Linked DNA regions of Macaca mulatta. The protein of the gene in region 2 interacts with the protein of the main gene of each other region in a pairwise test. Links are inferred from orthologs where the notes say so. Each region holds a gene or a part of one and is shown on either strand. Other genes may lie near its edges.

Region 1 (4,266 bases), about 100 Mb from region 2:
TCCTCTTTTCCCGTCTGCACTGTCACTGCTCGATTCAGGCCTTCTTTAATGTCCCATCTGCAATATGACAACAGTTTCCAAGGTGTCTCCCTAAAGTCAATGCCACTGTCATCTAATCTAAGATTTTTTAAATTCCAATTTTTGTTATAATTTTTTAAACACACACCTGACAATATCATTCACTTGTTCAAAGGGCTCAGTACTATAAACCCTCATGGGGCCTTTGTGATCTGGCCCTTCCTGTCTCCCCAGCCCTCGCTCTGTGCTGTCACTAAACAGGCTGGAGTTTCCTGAATGTCCAGTGCTGTTTCACTTCTCTATGGGTGCTGTTCCTTCTGCTGGGTCACTGAGCCTTCCACTTGCCTGCCAATTCATCCTCCTACATGAAGGTTCATTATTTCATCAATAAACACTTTCCAACACTTCTCATGAGTCGAGCCTGGGACAAGTTCAGGGAGTACAATGCTGAATGACACTTTCCAACACTTCTCATGAGTCGAGCCTGGGACAAGTTCAGGGAGTACAATGCTGAATGACACACTCAACCCTTTGTCATAGAAAAAGTAACTTCAGGGCTTTCAAAGGAGGAATAAAGTTTGGAAATTAAGGTAAAGTTGTCTGAAATTTAGCAGTGTTGCCTTTATTAGTTGGATATCTTAGCAAACTGTGGAAACTTGGAAACCTTGATACTTGGGCATCAAGTTCAAAAGTGTCTCAGCAGATTTCAATTGTAACAGTAAACTGTGATATGGTAGATTTATTCATTTTGGCTCACAAGGCTATAATGTGCTAAAAAACATTGATTTGAACTACAAAAACAATGATCAAAAACTTGCTTCAATATAGTGTTACAAATTTATAAAGTATTAGGCAGGGCATGGTGGCTCACATCTGCAATACCAGCACTTTGGGAGGCCAAGGCAAGCAGATCACCTGAGGTCAGTAGTTCGAGACCAGCCTGGTCAACAGGGCCAAACTTGTCCCTACTACAAATACAAAAGTCAGCTGGGTGTTGTGGGTGCCTGTAGTCCCAGCTACTTGGAAGGCTGAAACACGAGAATTGCTTGAACGCAGGAGGAGGAGGTTGCAGTGAGCCAAGATTGCACCACTACACTCCCGTGTGGGGCAAGAGAGTAAGACTCTGTCTCAAAAAACAAAACAAAACAACCTATTAATTAGTCATACCATTTCCTAAAAGTCACGCTGCTAACTAAAGGTGACTGCAATGATCTAGGGATGGTAATCTGCTGAGTTTACTCTTTAAATACACTGGAACCCAGCAGATTGAGTTATATTGGGACAGAAACTTCACTCTGGGTATAGATTTACCCTAGCACCTTGTCAGCAGGATCCTATTATTCATGGTTGTACAAGCAAGGTTCAGGGAAGAGGCTGGCACAGAGAAAGTACCTGTTAACTGTTGTTTGGGACTGAATTCAGCTCAACTCAGCTCCAGTAGAGATGGTGCTCCCTTCTCTACCGTGTTGAGATAGTGTGCAGTCCCTTCCTAGGTGCTGCTACCCACCACAGTGGGGCCTGTCAGCTTCAACTTTTAAATTTCTCTGCTCCCGCTGGGACCCACCCGCTTCAAAAAGCACCATGTGGTTTTGGCATCAATTTAGTAAACACACACTGTCTGAAATATTTTGATTTTAGAGAGTTACAATCACCACATTAAATGATACATTTCTACTATTCAGTGAAAATGGTAGCAAAATGGTCATTGAATAATGAAATTAATTTTCTCCTGGGCTTCTGAGGCAAAGCACATGATTTTAGTGGTTATCTTAAATCAACCCAGTGACCTTTACTGGCATGTTGTAACATCAGGCGCCTTAGGAAACTGAAAACTCAATCGTCACTTCCCATACCACTGCCCCAGGTCAGCAGGGCAGGCATTTCACATCTACAGTCTCATTTTAAATACAGACAGAGCAAGCCTCGCTTTTCAAAAGTTCATTAACAAAGTCTCACAATTAAGAGAGCAGCCCTGTGACTCATTTTTGGATACCTGTAAATAACAGCTCCTCCCTTTGCTGAGAAACGGCTGAAACAAGCGCGTGAGAACCACAGGAAGTAATACAGATCTCAGCTGGTGTCAGCGGAGTCTAGAAAAAGGCAGAATTCCCTCTCAGGACGGCGTGGTTCTCGCAGGCATTGCCACTACTTCTCTCCATTTTTCTAAAACAAAGTCTTACGTGGGCTGCGAAGGGACTGCTCCAAGGCTCTATCAATTTCTCCGTCTTTCTTGGCTACTGAGTGACACTGCCAAGTTCAAGTCAAGAAGTACCCATTCTGGTGTTTTTGACACAGTCACCCTAATAGGAAGTGAAGAGGTGATAACACAAAAACACTTCAGTCTTTCGATTTAAAATAAAATAGTCTTAGGTGGACACTTTAAAAAGGCAGCCTACCGACAGGTATCCCTAAAATAATTCCTGTGAAGCACTAAATCCTAAATCCCTCAGCCTCTGAAATTAAAAGTAATTTTAAAAAATCATTCCGCTTTATATGAGGAACCCAATCCTGTGTTTCCGAAGGTGCCCAGAGGCGGCGTGAGGACCTGCGCCAGATCCAAAATCCCAACTAAGGCGCAGCCGCGGGTCCCGAGCCCAGACAGTGCCCCCGCCCGCCTCCCGGATCTCTCAGCGCACGGGGAATAGTCAGGAAGAGAAATGGGGGGTCAGGAAGAGAAATGGGGGGTCAGAAAGAGAAATGGGGGCTCAGGGAGAGAAAAACAAACCTGGACCCGGAACGAGAGCGCGAACTGAGAAGCCTCTCTCCCCGCAGGGCGCGCGTCCCCTGTGGGCGCCGCGATGGGGAAGGAAACCTGTTGCGCGACTCCCGGCGGCTCTGCTCCCGGCGCCTCCTGCGGCCGAGGCTGGGCTCCTCCACAGCCGCCCGAGCTCCGCGCCGCCGCGGCCGCATCTGGGCGCCGCCGGCTCAGCCCCCGCCGCTTAGGAAGCTACCACAGCTGGGGACCAGGCCCCGCCCCGGGATGACAGCGCCGGGGCGCGGCAGCAGCCGGCTCACAGAGCACGGGTTCCCGCCCCACCCGGAGTCCGTGCGCTCGGGACCGCCCGGAGCCGGGGACTCGCTCCAGCCCCTCCCGCGAGCCCCGGGGCGTTCCCGGGGGCGGCGCAGACCGGCGCAGGGAGTGGGATGTTAGCCGCCCAAGACACTTCCTCCGCTCATCCTCTGGTCCCCAGGTCAGGGAGTGCGATGGACTTTCCCCGGGAATCCCCGCTGCGCCGGTGACATTTGCAGTCCGGTGCGTTTCTGCGGCAAGGACGCTGGAAGCGGTCTCTGAGCGTGGGTGTGGCTGCGGAGGCTGCAGCAGGTCCTGCATCCGCGGGACCCTCGAGGAGGCGGGCGAGGAGCCTGCGGTCACACAGAGGCCGAGCACAGCCTTCCCAGAACCCGGCCGGCCAACCCATCTCCAGTCGGCCTCAACACCCGCCAGGCTCATCATTCCCTGGATATCAACTGAGCGGCCCCTTGTATTCCCAGGATAACACCGCGCTCAAAAACACTGCCAAGACCCTCCCTCCAGGTCCCGGCACTTTAACGGGGAGAGATAAACATAAAGTGTGGATTGTGTCAGGTGATGGTAAAGCACCTTGAAAAACAAGGCTGAGGCTGAAAAGTAAGGAAGTGATACTCAAGAAAGGAAAAATCGGGCCGGGCGCGGTAGCTCATGCCCGTAATCCTAACACTTTGGGAGGCCGAAGGGGGCGGATCTCTTGAGCCCAGAAATTTGAGACCAGCCAGAGCAATATGGTGAAAGCCTATCTCTACAAAAAATAAAAAAAAATTAACTGGGCGTGGTGGCACGCGCTGTGAGCCCAGCTACGCGGGAGGCTAAGGTGGGAGGATCACTTGAGGCCGGGAGGCCAAGGATGCAGTGAGCCGAGATCGCGCCACTGCACTCCAGCCTGGGCGACAGAATGAGACGCTGCCTCAATTGAATGAGAAGAAAAAAAATAAAAAATAAAAATAAACGAATCCTGTCTTGATGGGAGAATGTTTAAACACAGGAACCACCTGAAAGAGCTCCCAGTTGCCAAAGATGGAACCACTGAGCAACGAAGTAAACTGAACAAAGTAGTACTGGATTACAAACCAAAGTAAAAAATATCCATGAGTCTACACTGATATAAATAAATAAATAAATGAATAAATGGCAGAGAGGAGACAAATCTCCTATACAGAATAATTCCAAATAATTTATGTAGATCATCTACCCTAGGCTGTGCACAGTGACTT
Region 2 (4,101 bases):
CACAGGACCTAAAGTCTGGCTGAGATGATGGAACATGATCTCCCTAGAGAGAGCTACATACAGACAGATTCAACATCAAATGTGTATATCATTAGGCCACACATTCTTTTTGTTTTTTGGTGTTTTTTTGTCTTATTTATTTTTTATTTTTAGGCCACACATTTTAAGTGGAAAGGTTGGAAGAACAGAGACTTCTCAATTCTGATTTAAGGGCAAGAAGTTTGAGGGAGGAATGGGCATAGAGAGAGCTGAGCTTCCAGTATCAATATGGTGAGGCCAGGTGCTAGTTAAAATGCATTTATTGAGTGTTAGGTATACTTTATGAGGAGTCTGAGAGAACAGTACATAAATAACATAGTGCCAGCCTTTGGAGACATTGTCTACCAATATCATGTGAAGTTTAATCTAGCTTGGAACGTGGCTCCTGAGGCAGCTGTCTCTCTGACACCCAGGACCACAGGAGATTGTTGTTGTTGTTTTTAGAGACAGGGTATCACTGTGTCACCCAGGCCTCAATGCAGTGGCTGGATCATAGGTCACTGCAGCCTTCAACTCCTGAGCTCAAGTGATCCTACCACCTTAGCCTCCCGAGTAGCTGGGACTACAAATGCATGTCACCACAGCTAGCTAATTATTTTCTGTGGAGACGAAGTCTCGCTTTGTTGCCCGGGCTGGTCTTGAACTCCTGGGCTCAAGTGATTCTCCTGCCTCAGCTCCCAAAGTGCTAGGAGTATAGGTGTGAGCCACCATACCTGGCCTTTTCTTTATTTTCTTTCTTTCTTTAAGTATCAGGGATCTGTAGGCTAGGGAAATTGACTTGCCAAATGTCCTCTAGCTGGTAGCCAAACTAGAAATAGAGTCTCTGTCTCCTGACACCCAGTCTAGTGCTCCTTCTTCTTCATTGTGCTGCTGCTTCTAATGTAATCCTACTCTAGAGCAAAATGGCAGAATGCTATCCCAGTACATCTGGGAAGACACATGAAACAACAAGAATAAGAATGTTTACAGACAATACGACAGCATGGCCAGCTCCCATAGCATGTCCTCTGTAAAGGCTTTCTTCCATCAGAATGAACCCACACTGCCACAGTGCTGGGTCTCTACTTCTAGTTTGCACTTCTTCATCTTGCCTCATACTATGCTTTACCATCAGTTGATGGTCAATCTATCTCCCCTCTTAAGATTTTAGATTCCTTATTAATTACAAATTTAAGTCAGGATTTGTCTTATTCATTATTGTTATCCTCATCCCTAGCACCTAGCACACTGCTTTATTATCTAAGCACTGCAGGAACTAATAATTGCTTGCATAAAAATGAGTAGGTTCTGGAAACTAGGGCCGAAATAGGGTAAGGAGTTTATTCCAGTGAAGAAGGGTCACTAGCAAGCCAGCCTGAGAAAACAGCGAGGATGGATCCCTACCTGCCTCTCCGCCCTGGCTCCTGCCTGTCACTGGAAACATCCTGTTTCCACATGGTCACTTGAGGTCTCTGGGTGTCTAGTCGCCTCTCTGAGACATCTTGATGGCCTGGGGGTTGGACCAGGGGAATGTCTGAGAGCCAGGTGGGAGCCATTCTCGGCAGAGTTGAAAGGGGCCGAGCTTGAAAATGGGAGGGAGGAATCAGCCCAGTGGAACCTGAAGAATTACAAAATCAAAGATGGTCAGTTTCCCAGGCAGAGACAACCACCACTCCCCTTGTCTGGTCCCACTGACCTGAAGGTGGAAACATCTCCACATTATTTGAAGGCTCTAGATTCTGTCTCCAGCCATCTATGTTCCCCTGGACAATAGGAGAAACAAAGACACTCCAATTCAATTTTCAGGCCACCTTCCAAAGAGAAAGCCCCTACAATAACAAAGTCATAATCCTTGAATTACAGCCAGGTCCACCCGATGCTCAGCTCTTTTCCTACTTCCCCAAAGAAGTAGGAGATACCCCAAATTCACTTGCTTGTCTCAACCTGGTTCCTCAGGGAACCCAGGCAACTAACTATCAAGTGGAGAGAATTTACTGAAAAAGACAGACCGAGAGGGGCTCTGAGGCTTTACTCATACTTTCAGGATTCTGGGCAGTGCCTTTACCCTCCTCCTTAAGTTTCTATGGTCCCTGCTGCCCCTGGCCAGAGGTGAGAAAGGAGGTACACAGTGCAGGGGTCTTGAGCGCCATCTCCAGAGTTCTCTCCATGGCTCAGCAAGGCCTGGGGGAATCCCATCCAGACACCACCAGGCCATGACTCTTGGGTCCTTCCCTATTAAAGTGCTGGCCCAAGGCCTGGCCCCAGCTGAATGTGGCCACATGCAGGGCTAGACCCTTCCCAAGACCTTGGGAATCCAAGCAGCCTAGATCCCCAGGCAGAAAAGCCAGCGTCCTGACATCTCATCCAAATCTTTCCTGCGGCTGTCCTCTCAGCTTCTCTCTACTATCCCCTCAGCTTCCATGCCTGCCGCCCGCCTCCTCTTTCTCGAGTCCTAACACATAGTGGGCACTTTAAGACCTTCCCCCCACCCTCCCACCCTCATTAATCTATTTTTTACCCGAATCTGGGATCCCTACTCCGGTCCCTTTTTACATCCTAATCTACTTTTTTCTGAAGGAATTGTTCTGGTCCTCACCCTCACCCCCATCTCTCAATAGTCTGCTCTCGCCCCCTGTACGCTAGCCGGCTCTGCTCTCCCCCCACTGCTCCCCTAGATACCCAAGGCTGTTCACCCAGTTGGCCCCTGAGCTCTAAGGCTGTTCTGATCTCCTCATCTACCCCTTCACCTGGCCCCTGTTCCCCCTTCCCCTTTGGACCCCTTGAACCCTCCCAGCACCCCCGCTCAGCCCCTTCCCGCCCACAACCGACTCTTCCCGAACGTCCCTTACCCACCGCGAGAACCCCTACTGCGCCTTGACCACACCCCCTACGCCTCGCTCCGGGCCCCGCCTCTGCCTCGGCCTCTGACCGCGCCTGCGCAAGGCGGGCGCCCTAAGGTCCTACCTCACTGTAGGGAGGAGGAAAGGTGTACGCAGGCGCAGTGGCGTCTAAATCTGGGCCCACAGAATGTGTCGACGCATCTCCGCGCCCAGGCGGCTCCTCCCCACTGCGGGAACCCGGGAAAACTTGTGAACTAATCAGAAAAAGCGGAAGGCGGGAGATCTTAGGGAGCCGTCCAATGGCGCGGAAGAGAGCAAATGAGCTGGCCAATCAGAAACGGCACGGGGGCGGGCTCGCTCGGCGCGAAGTTCGGGCCCGGGAATTCCGAAGGAGGGGTAGGCGCTGCCCGCGCGCCGAGGCCGCGCCCCTCCTGGCCCCGGCTTCCTGGCTGTCAAACAGCTGCAGCAGTATCGGCTCCAGCCGAGGAGCCCAGGGGGTCCCGGGACCCGCGGCACAGGCTGGCACTGCTTGAAGAGGAGGCTACTCGGAGACTGCACCCCGCTGGTAGATCCGAAACGGGGCTGGGGCCGAGAGGGAAAAGGCCGGGTATGCCTTGCATGATCGCGGGGAGCCCCTTCCTGTTTTTTTTTTTTTTTTTTTTTTTTTTTTTTTTTTTTTGAGACGGAGTCTCGCTCTGCCGCCCAGGCTGGAGTGCAGTGGCCGGATCTCAGCTCACTGCAAGCTCCGCCTCCCGGGTTCACGCCATTCTCCTGCCTCAGCCTCCCGAGTAGTTGGGACTACAGGCGCCCGCCACCTCGCCCGGCTAGTTTTTTGTATTTTTTAGTAGAGACGGGGTTTCACCGTGTTAGCCAGGATGGTCTCGATCTCCTGACCTCGTGATCCGCCCGTCTCGGCCTCCCAAAGTGCTGGGATTACAGGCTTGAGCCACCGCGCCCGGCCTACCCCTTCCTGTTTTTATCCCACCTAGAGAAGCCGGGAAGTAGGGGTTTAGGTCCAATTTGTTGGAGTACTTAAGAACTCGTTTGCACTTCCTTTTGGGGGATGACAGTAGATTCATTGCCCTCGGAGGTTCAAACTAGTTATGAGTGAGGGATTGGCCAGAAGATCGGGGCGCAGGCAAGCGGGAGTGCTCTATTAGGATAAGCAGGTTTGACAGGAAGAAGCTGCTCTTCTCCGAATTACACAGAGGTGATGTGTTCGTACTGCACGTAGACGTGTGTA
Region 3 (4,245 bases), on a different chromosome or scaffold from region 2:
AACAATACTACCAATCCTTTCCTCCAACAACACAAAATAAGAGCTTTTCAAATCATTTTATCTTTAATAATCTGGTAGTAACTTAAAATACGAAAAAAAAAGTCAAACGTGTTCCCTTTATGGGTGATGCCACCATGACTGCCTCACACAAGCATGCTCAATCACCAGGATGAGACTGGATGCCACAGAGTATGGCTGGCAAAAAGGCATCAGGGCTCACAGACTGAGGAGTTTGGTTACGGAGTCTCCGAGGGGTAACAGGCCGCAGAATAGACATCAGTTTAAGGGGCCTTCAGAGGACAGGGCGCGGTTGCTGGGTCATGAGCACCTTGAAGCGTTTCTTGATGGTGATTCGGTGTCGAGAGTATTTGTCATCTGGGGAGAACCGAGCAGGATGGGCTGAGCAGGTCTGTTGTCCCATCGGGTCAAATTTCTGCTCCGGGAATAGAGAATGTATGTCAGTACAGGAGTGATGGGGTGGGGACAGCGCGAAAAAGGGCAAACATGAAAACAGAAGATGCAATGATCAGCTCAAAAAGTTGTACAAATAAATAGAGAAATACAAAACTTAAAAAGGCTGGGCGCGGTGGCTCACGCCTGTAATCCCAGCACTTTGGGAGGCCGAGGCAGGAGGATGGCTTGAGGTCAGAAGTTTGAGACCAGCCTGGGCAATATGGCGAAACCTCGTCTCTACAACAAACAAACAAAACCAACCAACCAAACAAAAAAACCCTAAACCAAAAATTAGCCAGGTGTGGTGGCGCACGCCTGTAGTCCCAGCTACTCGGGAGGCTGAGGCAGGAAGATTGTTTGTGCCCAGGAGGCGGAGGTTGCAGTGAGCCGAGGCACTACAGCCTAGGCAACAAAGCGAGTCCCTGTCTTAAAAAAAAAAAGAAAAAAAAAGAAAAAAAAGAAAAGTGAGTGCAATGGCGCTATCCGGGTTTACTGCAAGCTCCGCCTCCCGGGTTTAAGCGATTCTCCTGTCTCAGCCTCCCAGGTAGCTGGGAAAACAGGCGCACGCCGCCACGCCCGGCTAATTTTTGTATTTTAGTAGAAACGTAGTTTCACCGTGTTGCCCAGAATAGTCTCTAACTCCTGAGCTAAGGTAATCCACACGCCTCGGCCTCCCAAAGTGCTAGGATTACAGGCGTGAGCCACTGCGCCCGGCCAATTTTGTTTTTTTAAAATAAAAAATTCGTCGCGCGCTCCCGGTTCTCCCCCACCTCGGTTCTGCACTTTCTGGTTCCCTCCACCCAGCTAGGTAACTCCGTGTATGGCCTCACCCATTCCTCCCATCTACATTTCTCGCCATGCCTATTTACAACCTATTTTCTCTCCTCACCTTCAGCGTATAGACCCGATCTCCCTCCTCGTTGAGGTAATACTGGAGAAACATGACTGCTCGTAAGCCAGAGGTCCCAATTCGCTCCGCTGCTCCGTCTGCAGGGGTCCGCCCGACCGCGTCACGTGTTCGTCAATTTCCTTCCTGCATAGCCGGAAGTCTCTCTCCTGGCACGCCGGAAAATGTAGTCAATTTTTGCCTTATTTTCAGCTAGCCAGAAGGGGGCGCACGAGGGCAGGGCTTGGCTTGGGGGGCCACACTTGCAACTTTGCAGGCTAAAACACGTGGAGTGTGCCTACTGTGTGCTAGGTACACGGCGCTAGAGGGGGGTAGGGATGGATGTGGATAGAACATTGACGTATAGAAGCTTGTCTTTATCTCAAGATACACACCCCTTTCAGGAGCAGTGAGTTTCCAGTGCCTGAAGAAACAAGGGCTCCAGGATTCAGAGCCCCTTTGCCCTAGGGAAGAAGGAAGAGGTTTTCTTCCCTCCCCTCTTTTACATCCAGTTTCCCTGCTCCATTTCAAAGCGTTGGCGGTAAAGAATGCATGTTGAGTATCAATATTCCGTAAAGCGAAAATAGCGTAAAGTTATTTTATGAAACGAAGTATGTTTCAGCGGTCGAACCAAGATTTAAACTTAGGTCCCTACCGCAAATTCAGCGCTCTTTCTTATAGTGGTGAGTAGCTAATAATAGCGTAATAAAGTGCACCTTCTAGGAGATTTTACAATTTTTTAAAGAATATAGAAGTTCTCCTTATTCGTTTAAAGAAATGAAAATGAGAACCAAAATATAATTACAAAGATCATCATTACGCCTTATTTATAATGACAAAAGCGTTGGCATATATGTTGTGTAACCAGAAAAACCTGCAAGGTTTTTTTTTTTTTAGAATATGGTTTGGCCGGGCGCGTTGGCTCACGCCTGTAATCTCAACACTTTTGGAGGCTGAGGCGGGCGGATCACAAGGTCAAGAGTTCGAGACCAGCCTGGCCAATCTGGCGAAACCCCGTCTCTACTAAAAATACAGAAAAAATTAGCTGAGTGTGGTGGTGGGCGCCTGTAGTCCCAGCCACTTCAGAGGCTGAGGCAGGAGAGTCATTTGAGCCGGGGAGGCAGAGGTTGCAGCGAGCTGAGATAGCGCCACTGCACACCAGCCTGGGTGACAGAGTGGCACTCCGTCTGAAAAAAAGAATATGGTTTGTGACCGGGTGCAGTAGCTCAGGCCTGTAATCCCAGCACTTTGAGAGGCCGAGACAGGTGGATCACAAGGTCAGGAGTTCAAGACCAGCCTGGCCAATATGGTGAAACCCCGTCTTTACTAATAAAAATACAAAAATTAGCGGGACGTGCTGGCGGTCACCTGTAGTCCCAGCTACTCGGGAGGCTGAGGCAGGAGAATCGCTTGAACCCGGGAGGCGGAGGTTGCAGTGAGCTGAGATCACGCCACTGGTCTCCAGCTTGGGTGACAGAGCAAGAGACCCTGTCCCAAAAAAAAAAAAAAGATATGGTTTGTATTTACTTGTAGTTGAATAAAAAATCTCTGCAAGTATTCACAAGAAACAGATGATACTGGTTTCCTCTGAGATAGAGAACCTAGTTACAGGAGAAAGGGGTAAGGGGTGGGAGGCAGACTTATTGCTATGTATTTTATTTTGTAGTTTGATTTTTGAACCTTGCTGATGTATTACCTGTTAAAAATTTTTTAAAGGCCGGGCGCGGTGGCTCATACCTCTAATCCCAGCACTTTGGGAGGCTGAGGTGGGTGGATCATGAGGTCAGGAGATCGAGACCATCCTGGCTAACACAGTGAAATCCCGTCTCTACTAAAAATAGAAAAATTAGCCGGGTGTGGTGGCGGGCGCCTGTAGTCCCAGCTACTCAGGAGGCTGAGGCAGGAGAATGGTGTGAACCCGGGAGGCAGAGCTTGCAGTGAGCAGAGATCATGCCACTGCACTCCAACCTGGGCGACAAAGCAAGACTCTGTCTCAAAAAAAAAAAAAAAAAAGTATGTCTAAGTAGTTAATTTTGTTAGAAAGGAAAAGGATGATTTCAGCCTTCAGGTCTTATTAATGAAAGAGTCTTTAGAAAAGAGAAAAGATATCTCAGAGAAAGCAAGAAAGACGCCATGAACCCCAGGGAAGGTCTTTTGGGGGAAATCCACGTTTGGATGAAGCTGTGGCTGTAGAGGATGGTCTGGGAATTACTGGCCTGAAATAGTCACCAGGAACCTTAGCAGATACATTTTATTTTTAAAATTTAAACCAAAATAATTTAACAAAACGAAGGACTTTCTACTCTTGAGGTTTTAAACTGCATGGCAGCTTTTTTATTTAGTGAGGCTTTTCAGCAAAGGGTAAGGCTTCTGTGGAGTACAGAGCCTATGCTAGTAGATTGGACAGCTTTCCAAGGAAATGATGTGCACACAGCAATCGAGCACCTTGGATCATCTGACAATTCTAATTTTAGACTTTAGTTCCCTTGATCCTTAAGTATACAGACCAATGTGGTCTGAATTTAGTTCAGAAAATATAGCCATCATTGGATTAAGTCAGGGGTCTACCATCGACCTGCTGTTAATAGGAAGTCAGTTACAGAACTGGCTGGGATGGAAGGACACAAAATGAGATATGTTGGTGAAGAATTGAAGTATAGGGAACCAAACTCAAAACAGTAATGTGTTGGGAATCTGAGAAAGAATTTACAAATAGCCCTAAAGGGCGAACATCAGTTGTGTTGCCAAACTGTAGTTTGAAGGGAATTCCTGGTTTTTGCGTAGTTACTAGAACCCTTCATGGAATATCTCTCCCCACCCTCACCCCACTTTTCCCTCTCCCCTCCCCCACAGCAGACTGCCTTGAGTTCCATATTCTAGTTCTGTTTGATCTGATCTTTACCTTC
Region 4 (4,305 bases), on a different chromosome or scaffold from region 2:
CTTTATAAACTCTGCTTTAACTTACAAAGGTTATTTAATAATCCCATTGTTTTGATGATTCTAAAGATTATAAGTTTATTTTTACAGTCTACTCTTAAATATTACTGTTGAGGCATATATACAGCAATGGTGGACTTAATTCTGCCTAAGATATCTGAGCATCTGTACTAAAATATGAAGCTACCTTCATTTGGTTGGTATGCTAAAGAAATTTTGTAAGTATCTCATTTTTAAAAAATTTGGTTTGTGTGTTCTGTGTGCTCAGGAATTTTTCCACAGTACCAGAGATCACTGTAGTGATTAAATTTGACCCTTTTGACAGAAAACAGAATAATAGATTCCTAGGGATAAAAAAGGGGTGACTGCAAAGGAACATGAGGTAATTTTTGGAGTGATTCTACACCTTGTTCTACAACTATTCTACATCTTGATTATGTTATGATTATGAATTTGTCAAATCTCATACTTAACGGTAAATTTTAGTGAATATAAGCTCATACTTAAATAAACATGACTTTACAATTAAAACAAAAGAAATATGAAGGCTCATAAGAGACTGCTATGACCAATTATATGCCAACAGATTGGATAACCTAGAATGGATAAGTTCCTAGACACATACAACCTATCAAGACTAAATCATAAAGAAATAGGTAATCTGAACAGACCGATAATAAGAGATCAAATCAGTAGTTAAGTCTCCCACTAAACAAAACCCCCCGGACCTGATGGCTTCACTACTGAATTCTACCAAACATTTAAAGAAGAACTAATACAAATCCTTCTCAAATTCTTCCAAAATACTGAAGAGGAGGGAAAATTTTCAAACTCAATTTAGGAGACCAGCATTATCCTGATTCCAAAGCCAAACAAATACACTACAAGAAAAGAAAACCAAAGGTCAATATCTCCAATGAACATAGAAGCAAAAATCCTCTACAAACTCTAATTGCTAAGGCTATACCTTACATAAGGCAGAATGTTCAACAGACTTACTTGTGAATTATCTAAGCCCCATAATTTACTTTTCTTTCCTTAAATGCAATTTCAGCCCATGGTTCCCATTGTCCTCCCCATCTTCTTTTTTGGCTTTTTAAAAGACAGGGAGTCCCTGGATCCTGGATCTTGTACCTATCCCCTTTTTTAAAACAAAAACAAAACACTGAGTTTCTCTATGTTGTCCAGGCTCGTCTCAAACTCCTGGGCACAAGTGATCCTCCTGTCTCTGCCTCCCGAGTAGCTGGGATTACAGGTGCACACTACTGTGCCAGCTCTGGCACCTGGTCCCTAGTTGGATACTTAATCCTTACAAGTCATTTGCAGAAAATATTTTTATTTCTATAATCATATTTGATGCCAAAGTTATGTTTCCAGCCTATCTCCTCTAGCCATCTTTTAGATTCGGAATGTAAAATAAATTTAATATAAACAATGTGGTTTTGGGGTACGAGAACGAATAACAAATAGCAAAATAAAAACTATTTTGGGGTACGAGAACGAATAACAAATAGCAAAATAAAAACTATTTTCAACTAATTTTAGAAGTTGGGCACGGTGCCTCGGGCCTGTAATCCCAGCACTTTGGGAGGCTGAGGCTGGTAGATCGCCTGAGGTCAGGAGTTCGAGACCAGCCTGACCAACATGGTGAAACCCCCGTCTCTACTAAACACAAAAAATTAGCCAGACATGGTGGCGCATGCCTGTAATCCCAGCCACTCAGGAGGCTGAGACAGGAGAATCGCTTGAACCCGGGAGGCGGAGGTTGCAGTGAGCCGAGATCGCGCCACTGCGCTCTAGCTTGGGTGATAGAGTTAGACTCTGTCTAAAAAAAAAAAAAGAAAAAAAAGAAATTTTAGATTTCCTATTGTTCTCTTTAATCGCAGTAAGCCTGACTGAACTATCTCACAAGGACCTCTAGAACACTAATTCAGTAGAGGAGGGTTGCAAGATTGATTGTAACAGAGTAAAAGAGAACTTAAGGTGTGTTAACACAATTGGGTGACAAGAGGTCATGATACATGAATAAAGACTGTAATTCTTGTTTTACTCCATTTGTCAATCTCAGCAGTGCAAGGTGACTTCTAGGCGACTCTATAAACCAGTATCACAGGACCTACCTCCTCACAAACTGTAGAAAAGCGGTTGAGGAACTGTACAGTGTGCACCACAAATTGGTTTAGAAAAGCCACCGTTCTTTTCTGTTGAATAGCTGGCACCTGTGTTACGTAAAAACAAACATGGTTCATACAGGAGGAACGTACACAGTGCAAACCTTTTCATATTTGGAAATAATCACGAGGCACTTTGCTGTGTGATACGAATTTCTTGAAGGACTGGGAATAGTCATTAACTTGTTTTCCTAAACTGTAGGTGGGGTGTCCGAAGACAACAGAGGTGCATAAAAGTTTGAGAACAGGCTCTAGACTCACTGGGACGAATTTTGGCAGGCAGAAGCAACACACATAAACACACACAAAAACTTGGGGGCTGAAAAAGAGGTAGGGCTAGCTATCACAACCGGCGTCTATCGCCGGCGGCACAGAGACACGAAAGATGGGAAGCGAAAGTTGGGAGATGCACACCGTCTCCTTAATCAGTTCAAGAGGGACCCCATTTGAAGGTGGACTGCGGAGCTCTCCCTCCTGAGGCCGGCAGAAGGGCCCGGGGCCGTGACAGAGTGGGGACCCGGAAGGTGTGGTCTCCCCGGGAAGCTGCGTCTTCCCCATCCTCCTCCCGGTGGAGGAGTTTAGTATCGTCTTTTACAAACCTTGGTCAGGTCTATGCCTGACCCCATGAGAGGAAGCCCGTCCTCATCCATCTCCTCTGCGGGCGGGAGACCCCGAGTTCACCCACAAACCCCTCCCAGATGGGGCCCGACCAACCCGGTAATCGCGTCTCAACTTTCCCCCCAAGTCCCCGCCTCCGGGGCCCTTCCCGCCGGAAGAAAATGCCTCCGCTCACTAATCACTCGGCGACTTCCGGAGAGCCCGCCTCCTCGCTCGGCATTCTGGGATTGGTAGTTTTAGTCCAGATTGTGACGTCAATTTCGCGATGGTGCAAGGATGCAGTTATAGCAGTAAAATCTTAGGAGGCAAACAAAACAAAACAAAGCCAGAAGTTGCGTCCCTTTGAGGTTACCCCTACTTAGTCCTGTCTGTTATATAACGGCTCCGTCATTCCTTGAGCAACAATTTTTTTTTTTTTTTAATCCTAAGTGTCATATATACTCTGCTAGGCTTTTACTGTGAAAACAAAGATTGAGTTTGATTGCTGCATTGGGGAGGTTTATGCTCTGAAGAATGAGAAATAAGACCTACTTCCAAAGGGTGTGTGTGTATATACACACCAGTTCCCAGGCTGGTCTCGAACTCCTGACCTCAAGCGATTCTCCTGCCTCAGCCTCCCAGAGTGCTGGGATTACAGTCGTGAGCCAACCCGCCTGGCCTTCCAAAGGTTTTTAAAACGTGAAATAAAACGTCAACTACTAGAGGTGAGGCACAAACCTACGGAAGTGACTGCCATTTACAGGGAGCATGGAAAAGATGAAGACCAAGTTGGCAGCTTTAAAATGGGGGTCTTGCTGTGTCACCCAGTCTGGTGTGCGGTGAGGATTATAGCTCACCGTAGTCTCAAACCCCTTGGCTCAAATGATCTTCATGCCTTGGCCTCCCTAAGCACTGGGATTATAGGTGTGAGCCGCTGGCACCTGGCCCTGTTGGTTTGGTTGAAGCAAGTAATCCCATACATGGAGAATGGTAGGAAATGAGGTAAGAGTGCTACCGGTGGAGGGTGTCCAGGTTCTTGACGTTTTGAACAAAGAATTGGACAAAATGCACAAAGCAAGGAAAGAATGAACCAAGAAAAGCAAAGATTTATTGAAAACCAAAGTACTCTCCACAGTGTACTGGATACAGAATCTTCTTAGGTCCAAATACCCGCTAGAGATTTCCCATTGGCCACTGGTGTTCTCCTCATGCAAATGAAGTGGTGGCCACAATCAGTATGATTGGTTGTGGAAAGCAACCAATCAGAGGCTGAAGTAAAGTTACAAAGGTCACACTCCTATACAAACATCTGATTGGTTGTGGAAAGCAACCAATCAGAGGCTAAAGTGATGTTACTAAGTTGCACTTCTATGCAAAGGAAGATTTGGTCCGCAATCAGTCTGATTGGTTGAGGTACCTTCAATTTCCATCTGCCTGTCAGAAAAGGTGGGGATTTGCAAAGGGAGTAGCCGCTGCTCCTTTTGTTACTTAGGTGTGGAAATTTGGGGTTTACCTTTTGATTTAGTTCTAGGAAGTCAGC

What was found. The genes of interacting proteins can lie anywhere in the genome.
Region 1: the proteins of CCHCR1 (region 2) and STX11 interact in binary tests that used the Homo sapiens proteins (3 or more experiments, as listed by UniProt). The link is inferred for Macaca mulatta from reciprocal best matches to the Homo sapiens genes CCHCR1 and STX11.
Region 3: the proteins of CCHCR1 (region 2) and NUTM1 interact in binary tests that used the Homo sapiens proteins (3 or more experiments, as listed by UniProt). The link is inferred for Macaca mulatta from reciprocal best matches to the Homo sapiens genes CCHCR1 and NUTM1.
Region 4: the proteins of CCHCR1 (region 2) and WASHC3 interact in binary tests that used the Homo sapiens proteins (3 or more experiments, as listed by UniProt). The link is inferred for Macaca mulatta from reciprocal best matches to the Homo sapiens genes CCHCR1 and WASHC3.

What each region holds. Positions count from the first base shown.
Region 1 is NC_133409.1:49,410,942-49,415,207, reverse strand, and holds the start of STX11 (syntaxin-11), read right to left. Parts: upstream 2,839-4,266; 5' UTR 2,744-2,838; intron 2,319-2,743; exon of another isoform or gene 2,012-2,318; intron 1-2,011. UniProt on the Homo sapiens protein: SNARE that acts to regulate protein transport between late endosomes and the trans-Golgi network.
Region 2 is NC_133409.1:151,906,569-151,910,669, reverse strand, and holds the start of CCHCR1 (coiled-coil alpha-helical rod protein 1), read right to left. Parts: upstream 2,840-4,101; 5' UTR 2,300-2,839; coding exon 2,084-2,299; exon of another isoform or gene 2,057-2,083; intron 1,848-2,056; exon of another isoform or gene 1,782-1,847; coding exon 1,715-1,781; intron 1,637-1,714; coding exon 1,423-1,636; intron 713-1,422; exon of another isoform or gene 683-712; intron 1-682. UniProt on the Homo sapiens protein: May be a regulator of keratinocyte proliferation or differentiation.
Region 3 is NC_133412.1:11,536,145-11,540,389, forward strand, and holds the start of NUTM1 (NUT family member 1), read left to right. Parts: upstream 1-1,407; 5' UTR 1,408-1,940; coding exon 1,941-2,022; intron 2,023-4,245. Other genes in the region: NOP10 (H/ACA ribonucleoprotein complex subunit 3), read right to left, coding at 293-433, 1,343-1,396. UniProt on the Homo sapiens protein: Plays a role in the regulation of proliferation. Regulates TERT expression by modulating SP1 binding to TERT promoter binding sites.
Region 4 is NC_133416.1:109,366,354-109,370,658, forward strand, and holds the start of WASHC3 (WASH complex subunit 3), read right to left. Parts: upstream 2,839-4,305; 5' UTR 2,819-2,838; coding exon of another isoform or gene 2,768-2,818; 5' UTR 2,727-2,767; coding exon 2,583-2,726; intron 2,217-2,582; coding exon 2,118-2,216; intron 1-2,117. UniProt on the Homo sapiens protein: Acts as a component of the WASH core complex that functions as a nucleation-promoting factor (NPF) at the surface of endosomes, where it recruits and activates the Arp2/3 complex to induce actin polymerization, playing a key role in the fission of tubules that serve as transport intermediates during endosome sorting.